Cricetulus griseus: one gene and its partner. The protein of the gene in region 1 interacts with the protein of each later gene in a pairwise test. Links are inferred from orthologs where the notes say so. Each region holds a gene or a part of one and is shown in the gene's direction. Other genes may lie near its edges.

Region 1 (4,012 bases):
GTGCTGCTTGTCCCTGATATTCAGAAAAGGTGGTGAGAGGTGAGATTCCAGCAGAACATAGTAGCTTTGGCACCATCCTGTCAACAGTGTAGGGACCTGAGAGTGGCCTGTAAGCTCTGGGACTTGGAAAGAGTTGAGGATAGGCTGTTTGGGGGCTACCTGTTGCCTTTCCTTGCAAGGCTTTGGCTTTGAGTTTCATTTAATCCACCTCCCTGGCTGGCAGAGACAATTGGCTACTCCTCCCACCTTGCCCAGGACAGGCCCTGGAACTCCCTGCTGTTGCTAAGGAACAAGACACATCCTGTCACCCCAGTCTTCGGGACAACTCTCCCGTGCATCCTCTCCTCTGCCCGGGGAGGCTCTCCAGCTGGCCTGCTGGAGCCAAGGAGGGAAGGAAGAAGACTCTGGGGCGCCAGGCCTTCCCTCAGGGCGGTGGAAAAATGAAGGTTAGTGGGTTGGAAGGTAAAGAAGAAATCGGTCCAGTCTCCAGACCTGGCTTGCGTGTGAAAGAAACAGCTTTGTGTGGAAACACAGCAAGGCAGCCAGCCCTGGGCTCTACTCGGGAAGGAACTGCTTGGCCCCAACCCTGGGTCCTAGCTCGACTAGGAAGACAGCAAGAGCAAGACCCCAAAGAGTGATTCAGTTGGGACAACACCAAATCCCTGAAGAGGGGAGGTGTAATGCCTGGCTGCTTCAATCCCTCAATTAGAATCCCAGGGTCGCCTTGATGGGAAGAAAGGCAATCTGTGTGACCACTCTGTGACCTTGACTGTACCTTTTTCTTATCCAGTCTCCTCTCTTGGAAAAGTATAACATAGCCACGTGCTGGACTGTCTGAGCTCCAGAGGTGTCTGTGGATGGTTACACATAGTAGGTCCTCAATAAATGTATTTTATATCAGCAAAAACAAAAACAAAAACACTGCTTACATCCTGAGTGTAAAGATCAGCAGGGGCATGGCTGGATACCTCCTGGAGTCGTTTGCTCCAGGGAAAGTCTAGAAAAGAGCCTTCACGAGGCAGCACCAGTTCCCTCTCTCTGGCTGGCTGGCCGGCTCTGTGCAGAAGGACCTGCTCTTCTGGAACCTTTCTTTTCCCCTCCCAGGCGACGTCCCTCGTCCGATGGGTGTGTCTGTCGGGCGGGAGGTGATACTTGAACAGCTGCGGGCGCGGGCGAGTGCTGTGGAGCAAGGATACCGGCATAGGTGACAGCATGGCTTCCCGGGACACACCGCCGGCCACCAGCTATGCCCCGCCCGACGTGCCCTCGGGGGTCGTTGCTGTGTTTCTCACCATCCCCTTTGCCTTCTTCCTACCGGAGCTGGTGAGTGCGGCTTCGGCCACCAGCAGGGAGGGAGGGGCTGGGAACCACTCCTGTGCTACCGACCTACCGCCACCCGCCACCCCCCATCCGGGGATGGGGTAAGGCAGCTAGCTACGGGTGCCCACTTTCCATACTATCTGCCTGACCCCAGGCTGTGTCCCTCTAGAGCGAACTTTCCTCCTTCCCAAAGAGGAACCTTCCCCAGGACACTCGTTTATTGAAGGTGTGCAGCCACCTTCTAGATTACCCAGACGTCTCGGAATATTCTATTACCTGGTTTCTTTCCACCTAGCTGTTTGTACTTTCCTAAAGTTCAAAGAACCAGAGGACTCTCTCTCTAAAAGGCCTTCTAAAAGAAGTTCTCCGAGTATTTCTCAAAGTACATCAGCTGACTTTGAACTTTGATTTATGTGTCTCCACAGAGGAGGGAGCTCATGACAGCACCGTCCATAAAACAATCTCCTGAAACGCCCAAGTTACCCCAGAGAACTTGTTATTGCCGGACTCTGGGGCACCCCACAGCAGAACTGGGCTTTATTCCCTGCCTGGGCTCAGCCATGCATCCAGTAGAAAACAGGTTCCCTCTGCTCCTGCAGTATCTAGATTGTGCGTGATTTTTTCTTCTGAGCTCTGAATTTGACAGTGCTGCCTCTGTGTCGGGAGGAAGACTCAGAATAGTACATAAAACTGGCACCAGTGGCCAACCTTTTCCACTCTCTTGGTCTCCTCGAAAGGCTGGGACTGATGGAGTGAATTTTAGGCAAATTGGTTAAAACAGCCATTCTTGTTCATCAAGAAAGGGAAGCCAAGCTAGCTGAGCCCCATAGTTGGGTGGCTTTGGCAGAGACCCCACCTAAGAGATAGGTTTCTTTCAATCCCCCACAAACGTGGGCATCCTGCCAGGCTGATCACATTCTGAACTCTGTGTGCCAGGCCCTGGGTGTGGCCCTCACTTTGGAGCAGCCACATGTATGACAGGACAGAGCTGTCTCTGCCACTTTTTATTGAGCATATTCTTGCCAGTCACACAAATCATTGTAGGAATGGCGGCTACCTCCCAGGGGTCTCTGTGAGTGTTTTCTGGGTGGCTTAAATGCAGCACCAGCAAGAAGAGATGGCCAGTCCCAGGTCAGGGAGGGCCCAGGGCTGTCCCTGGGAGTTGCCACTCGAAGAAGGCTGGATGGCTGAGGCAGCAAAGCAGCCAGGTAGAGAACTGGCACTTGAGGGGCCCACAAATGTCCCCACCTGTCCTCCTTCTGCAGTGGATTCCTAGAAGAGTACTATCAAGGTGTCCTGGGACTTGGAGGAAAAGAGGACATTGTCATTGGTTTGGTTTTCTTGACTTATTTTTAAATAATTTTAGATTTCTCTTAAAGACACAGTAGCAGTACAGGAAGTGTGTATCACTCTGAACCCCACAGATCTCCCCAAGCCAGGAAGTTAACATTAGCACTCTGCTGTTGACCATTGTTGTCATATTTGCTCATTTCCCCACTAATGGCCTTTCTCTGACCCAGGGTCCAGGCTAAAACTCCTCATTGTGTTTGGTTGTCCTTTTCCCTTCATTCTGGGGCGGCTCCCCTGCCTTCATCTTGGTGTTCTAGAGAAGGGATTAGTCCATTAGGGCAGTACCCTTCCAGTTAGCCTTGCCCCAAATTTTTAATTTGCAAGTCAACCTTATTCATTGTTTAAAACTTAGAAAATACAGAAGTGGGCAGGACCTGTATGTATGCATGTGTTCACAGGTGGAGCATGTGCAGCGTGTGTGTGTGTGTGTGTGTGTGTGTGTGTGTGTGTGTGTGTTGAGTGCATCATTCTGCACATGCTACTTGTACCCGCTGTGAGCAAGGACTCCAGAATCATGTGTGCCTGGATGAAAGACGGGGAAAGAGGGGACCAGGTTGGGGAAAGGATCAACTTTTGATTCCATGAACGGAAGCTAGGAAAACGTGTATTTGTGCTGAGCCAGTTTGGCTCAGACCGGTCTTTGGCTTGGGCAGTCTGATGTATCCCCCTCTGCTATCCATGTGATCGATGTGAAAGCACCATGCCTCCAGGTACTCCTGACCCTTCCTTAGTCTTCTGGTCTGAGACAAGGGTCTATAGAATGGATTAGAAAGCAGCGAGGCCAGGACACCATTGCAGAGCACAGAAAGCAATACCCAGGTATAAGGTGAATACCGATACGGAGCCAGTAGAGATATTAGGGTATATTTATTAGGGAGAGCCTTACTCACAGAGCAACCTAGCCAGCCGGAAAGAAACGGAGTAAGCAGAGCAAACCAATGAAGCAGGGAAAAAGAAGGGGCTCCCAGGTGCGCGTCCCTCACGTCACCCTGACCATGCCTGCCAGGACGTGGTCAGGCACACCTGTAGCCAGCCCCGAGGAGGCGTGGTTACTGTGTCCCCTACACCCAGGAACTAGGGTGCAGTGATTCTGCGGTGGAGTAGCTCGGGGTGACATCACACAATGGTGTCTTCAGTGACCTTCCCAGCCACCAGCAGCTGTTGTGGAGCACCACATGGAGCCGGTGGGCAGATTCATTGTCAGATCAAATCCAACAAGCTGGGATCTTCCCTGATGGCCATAAGCCACACTCTGGCTATCATGGAGGTACGCCTCTGGCTCTTTGTGGCTCTTGAAGATGACAGGCCAGGTAGGGTAGCTCAGGCTTCCAGTAGCTTACTC
Region 2 (4,287 bases), on another chromosome or scaffold:
CCAGGCTCCACAAATCTTTCTCACATAATGGAGGGTCTAGTTCAGTCCCATGGAGGCTCCATTAACTGCTGGTCTAGAGTTCATGAGTTCCCTCAATCTTGGTTCAGCTGTCCCTGTAGATTTCTCCATCTTGATCTTGATCTCCCTTGCTCTTAAAACAGCTTTATGAAAATCACCATCATTCAAACTTTGTACCAGCCATTTAGATTCACTGTTTTGCAGCTTAGATGCAGGAACTAACAGGGATTTAATTGAGAAAGCTGTTCAAGGCACCACAGTTTAGTGATCTATCAGGCTGGAGACTAAAAAGATCTGGAATAGTACTTAGTCTCAGAAACTGGATCTACAAAATGCATGCATGGTTCCTGTTTCAATAGTATTTGCATGTCATGAGGAATCACTCCTTATAGCCCTAGAAGGAAAGTATTCTTTTATTGTTTTTAGCACTGTTTTGTAGAGAAATAAAAGCAAAGAAAGTTCAACAAACTTGCTAAACACATAGCTGGTGTCAGCCAGAATTCTAACCCCAAAATGATGCTTATAATTGAACACAGTACACACCCACTGTGGTATTTAATGAATGTTATCCGAAAGAGGTCATTTGAAACCTGCTGAAGAGAGGCTTCAGTAACTATCTTACTGTTAATCAGTTATAGCAACAGATAGGAAACTATATTGATGTCCATAATGCAACTTGACAGTAAGGAAGGTGGTCTAAGATTAAAATTATTTGTTTGAGGAAGTTACTAGCTCACATATGGCCACTGATGTTAGTCTCCCTAATGCTATTTATATAAACTGCTCTTGTGGGTTCTTATTCATTCAGCATCTCAGGCCCAAAGTGGCCAAGGGGATTTTGTTGGAAGTAAGTCTCCATGACTAAATGTGAACAAAAATCACTCATAATCCTTAAAGAAAGTAGAAGGAAACTGCATACCAAAAACACTGTGTTCAGTGACCTTGGGTTCATTTTTGAGATCTCTGCAAACCATCTTCTTGCTTCACAGATGTCAAAGAGCACTATAGGAGGGATGTCTTCATCATTTGTCTAAAGTATGAATTATATAACCAACCTATTGGTGCATAAAACCACTGGCATTGTAATAGGGGTACTTACTCAGACCATGTGTTCAGAGTCCTGACATTTCAGTCCTCCCTGACTTCTGTTGCCCTTCAGAAACAATGAACTCAGGAAAACACACATGCGTCCATGTGTGTTTGCATACACACATATACATGAATACACTGCAAAACTAAATGTGAAGAACTGAAAATTAAATGTATTCCCATCATCCCCTCTTTTGAGCCCCAGGATATACAAGATTCCAAGGTCAAATGAGAATCATATTTTTATTGCTTGTCATTACAATATGTGTTCAGTTGCTCTCTCCCACTTGCATAGAAAATTGACACTTGACAAGATTTCCTTTCATTTCTTACCTTGATAAATGTGTTACTTTTATATGTTTTCTATTGCTTAGGACATAATGACATCTTCCCAGACAACCACCTACCCCGGAATGCATGTCACCATTCCCAATCCTTACCCACCAACAAGTTCCATGGCTCATCATCCTCAACAGCCTCTGGGTATTTTAAATGTAGGAAACCAAGTACAGACTGGGCAACTTCCCTTCATTACATCTCCAGGAATCTTCACTACCAATCGGTTTGGTCCAGAAAATGTGCCAACGGTGCATCCAGCTCCAGTAACAACAACAACCAAAGCCAACTTTAAAGATGAAGCAATAGCTCTTGGGGTGAGTGTATTGTCACTAGAATTTTTAATGTTGCAATTGCAATGTTTCCATGCATCTGTCAGTTACAATAGTATATTGTCCAGTGAGCAAAAATATTTGAGGATTATTCTGATAACTGTGTTCTGCCCAGAAAGAAATGATCAGTCTGTGTATGAATTACCCTGAGCTACTTCATTTTAGATTCAGTCGTGTGTCTAACAGTTGACAGAAGACTCCCTAGCAGGATGATCCAGTAAAATGGCGAAGTGACAGAAGCCTAACAACTTCTTGCTTGATCTCACTGCTGTGGAAGTCTTTTTAGACAACCTCCTCTCTGTCTTTGGATTTGTTACAAATGTATATTCCTATAAAGATGAATCATCTTTAAAGAGATCATTGAAAACTGTTTTAAATTCCTCTATTGAGAATTGTCTATTTAGTTCTGTACCCAACTTTTTAATTGGATTGTTTGGTGTTTTGGAGACTAGCTTCTTAAGTTCTTTGTATATTTTGGAGATCAGCCCTCTGTCAGATGTGGGGTTGGTGAATATCTTTTCCCAGTCTGTGGGCTGTCGTTTTGTCTTGCTGACTGTGTCCTTTGCCTTACAGAAGCTTCTCAGTTTCAGGAGGTCCCATTTATTAATTGTTGATCTCAGTGTCTGTGCTACTGATGTTATGTTCAGGAAGCAGTCTTCTGTACCAATTCATTCAAGGGTATTTCCCACTTTATCTTCTAATAGGTTCAGCGTGGCTGCATATATGTTGAGGTCTTTGATCCATTTTGACTTAAGTTTTGTGGAGGGCAAAAGGCTTGGGTCTATCTGTAGTCTTCTACATATCCACATCCAGTTATGCCAGCACCATTTGTTGAAGATATTCTCTTTGTTCCAGTGTATATATTTGGATTGTTTGTCAAAAATCAGGTGTTCTTGGGTGTGTGGGTTAATATCATGGTTTTCAACTCTATTCCATTGGTCTACCTGTCAATTTTTGTGCCAATACCAAGCTGTTTTCAGGACTATCTCAATAGAGGAATCTAAAATGGCTGAAAGACACATAAGAAAGTGTTCAACACCCTTAGCCATCAGGGAAATGCAAATCAAAACAACTCTGAGATACCATCTTACTCCTGTCAGAATGGCTAAAGTCAAAAACACCAATGACAGTTTATGCTGGAGAGGATGTGGAAAAGGGGGAACACTTCTCCATTGCTGGTGGGAGTGCCAACTTGTACAGTCACTTTGGAAATCAGTATGGCGATTCCTCAAGAAAATGGGAATCAGTCTACCACAAGATCTAGCAATTCCACTCTTAGGCATATACCCAAAAGAAGCACATTCATACAACAAAGACATCTGTTCAACAATGTTCGTAGCAGCACTATTTGTAATAGCCAAAAACTGGAAGCAGCCTAGATGCCCCTCAACTGAAGAATGGATAGAGAACATGTGGTACATTTACACAATGGAGTACTACTCAGCAGAAAAAAACAATGGAATCTTGAAATTTGCAGGAAAATGGATGGAACTAGAAGAAACCATTCTGAGCGAGGTATCCCCATCACAAAAAGACAAACATGATATGTACTCACTCGTGTGGATTTTAAACATAAAGTAAGGGATTAGTAACCTACAATCCATACTGCCAGAGAAACTAGTAAACAAGGAGGATCATAAAAAAGACAAACTTAGTCCCCTGGAGAAGGGGAAAGGGTCATGATCCCCTGAGCAAATTGAGAGCATAGGAAAAGGGTGGAGGGAGCTACGAGAATGAGAAGGGAAGAAGAAAAAGGCTGCAGAGGTCATAAGGGAGCAGAAAGGTTGAGTCAGGTGTAGATTAGAAGAAAGGATATGTGATAGGTAGGGTTTTAGTTGGGGGGGTGGTGGAGGAGGAGGGGAGGGAGAAGGGAACTGGGATTGTCATGTAAGTCAATCTTGTTTGTAACTCAAATAAAACAAAAAAAAAAAAAGAAAACTGTTTTAAAGGGAATAGAGCTACTAGCAAACAGTCTGGGGAAAGCAAAATGTGAAAAGCCCTTGGAAATGTTATGTCTTTGTTGATTTACTTCCCAAAAGTTGACTTGAACTGGACACCCACAATCTTGTTTCTACAGTCATTGTAAAGCAAGTCTGTCTTACAGCAAAGACTCCACATGCTTAGACAGAAGTGACCATCATTTGCTAAGCTTTCCCCATACCTCTTCACAGGCTCCCACCAATGTGTCATGTCTCTTCCTGTGTACAGCTCCAAAATCTTGGCTATAGGAGTTAGTAGACACTAGGTGTCCACTATGTATCAGAATTCTTCAGCCATCTTGCCAGCTAGTGCTTTGGGTAGTTTAGTCAAGTCACGGTGTTTCAGGCAAGTAAAAATGAACAGTACCCCACCCTCCACTCCAGCAGCCAATCTACACTGCAAAGGTGGCTCCTTGGATCTTCCCCTGCCAAATGGAGTACATTCCCTGAAAACTCGTACTCACAAAGCCAACCCACGCAGCTGCTGAAAACATCTGGAAGTACAATGCAACACAGTCTCTGCCTTGGGGGGC

Evidence for each region.
Region 2: the proteins of Mall (region 1) and Ms4a12 interact in binary tests that used the Homo sapiens proteins (3 or more experiments, as listed by UniProt). The two-hybrid records come from large-scale screens. The link is inferred for Cricetulus griseus from reciprocal best matches to the Homo sapiens genes MALL and MS4A12.

What each region holds. Positions count from the first base shown.
Region 1 is NC_048599.1:50,860,318-50,864,329, forward strand, and holds the start of Mall (MAL-like protein), read left to right. Parts: upstream 1-1,212; coding exon 1,213-1,323; intron 1,324-4,012.
Region 2 is NC_048596.1:49,231,150-49,235,436, forward strand, and holds the start of Ms4a12 (membrane-spanning 4-domains subfamily A member 12), read left to right. Parts: upstream 1-1,487; coding exon 1,488-1,760; intron 1,761-4,287. UniProt on the Homo sapiens protein: May be involved in signal transduction as a component of a multimeric receptor complex.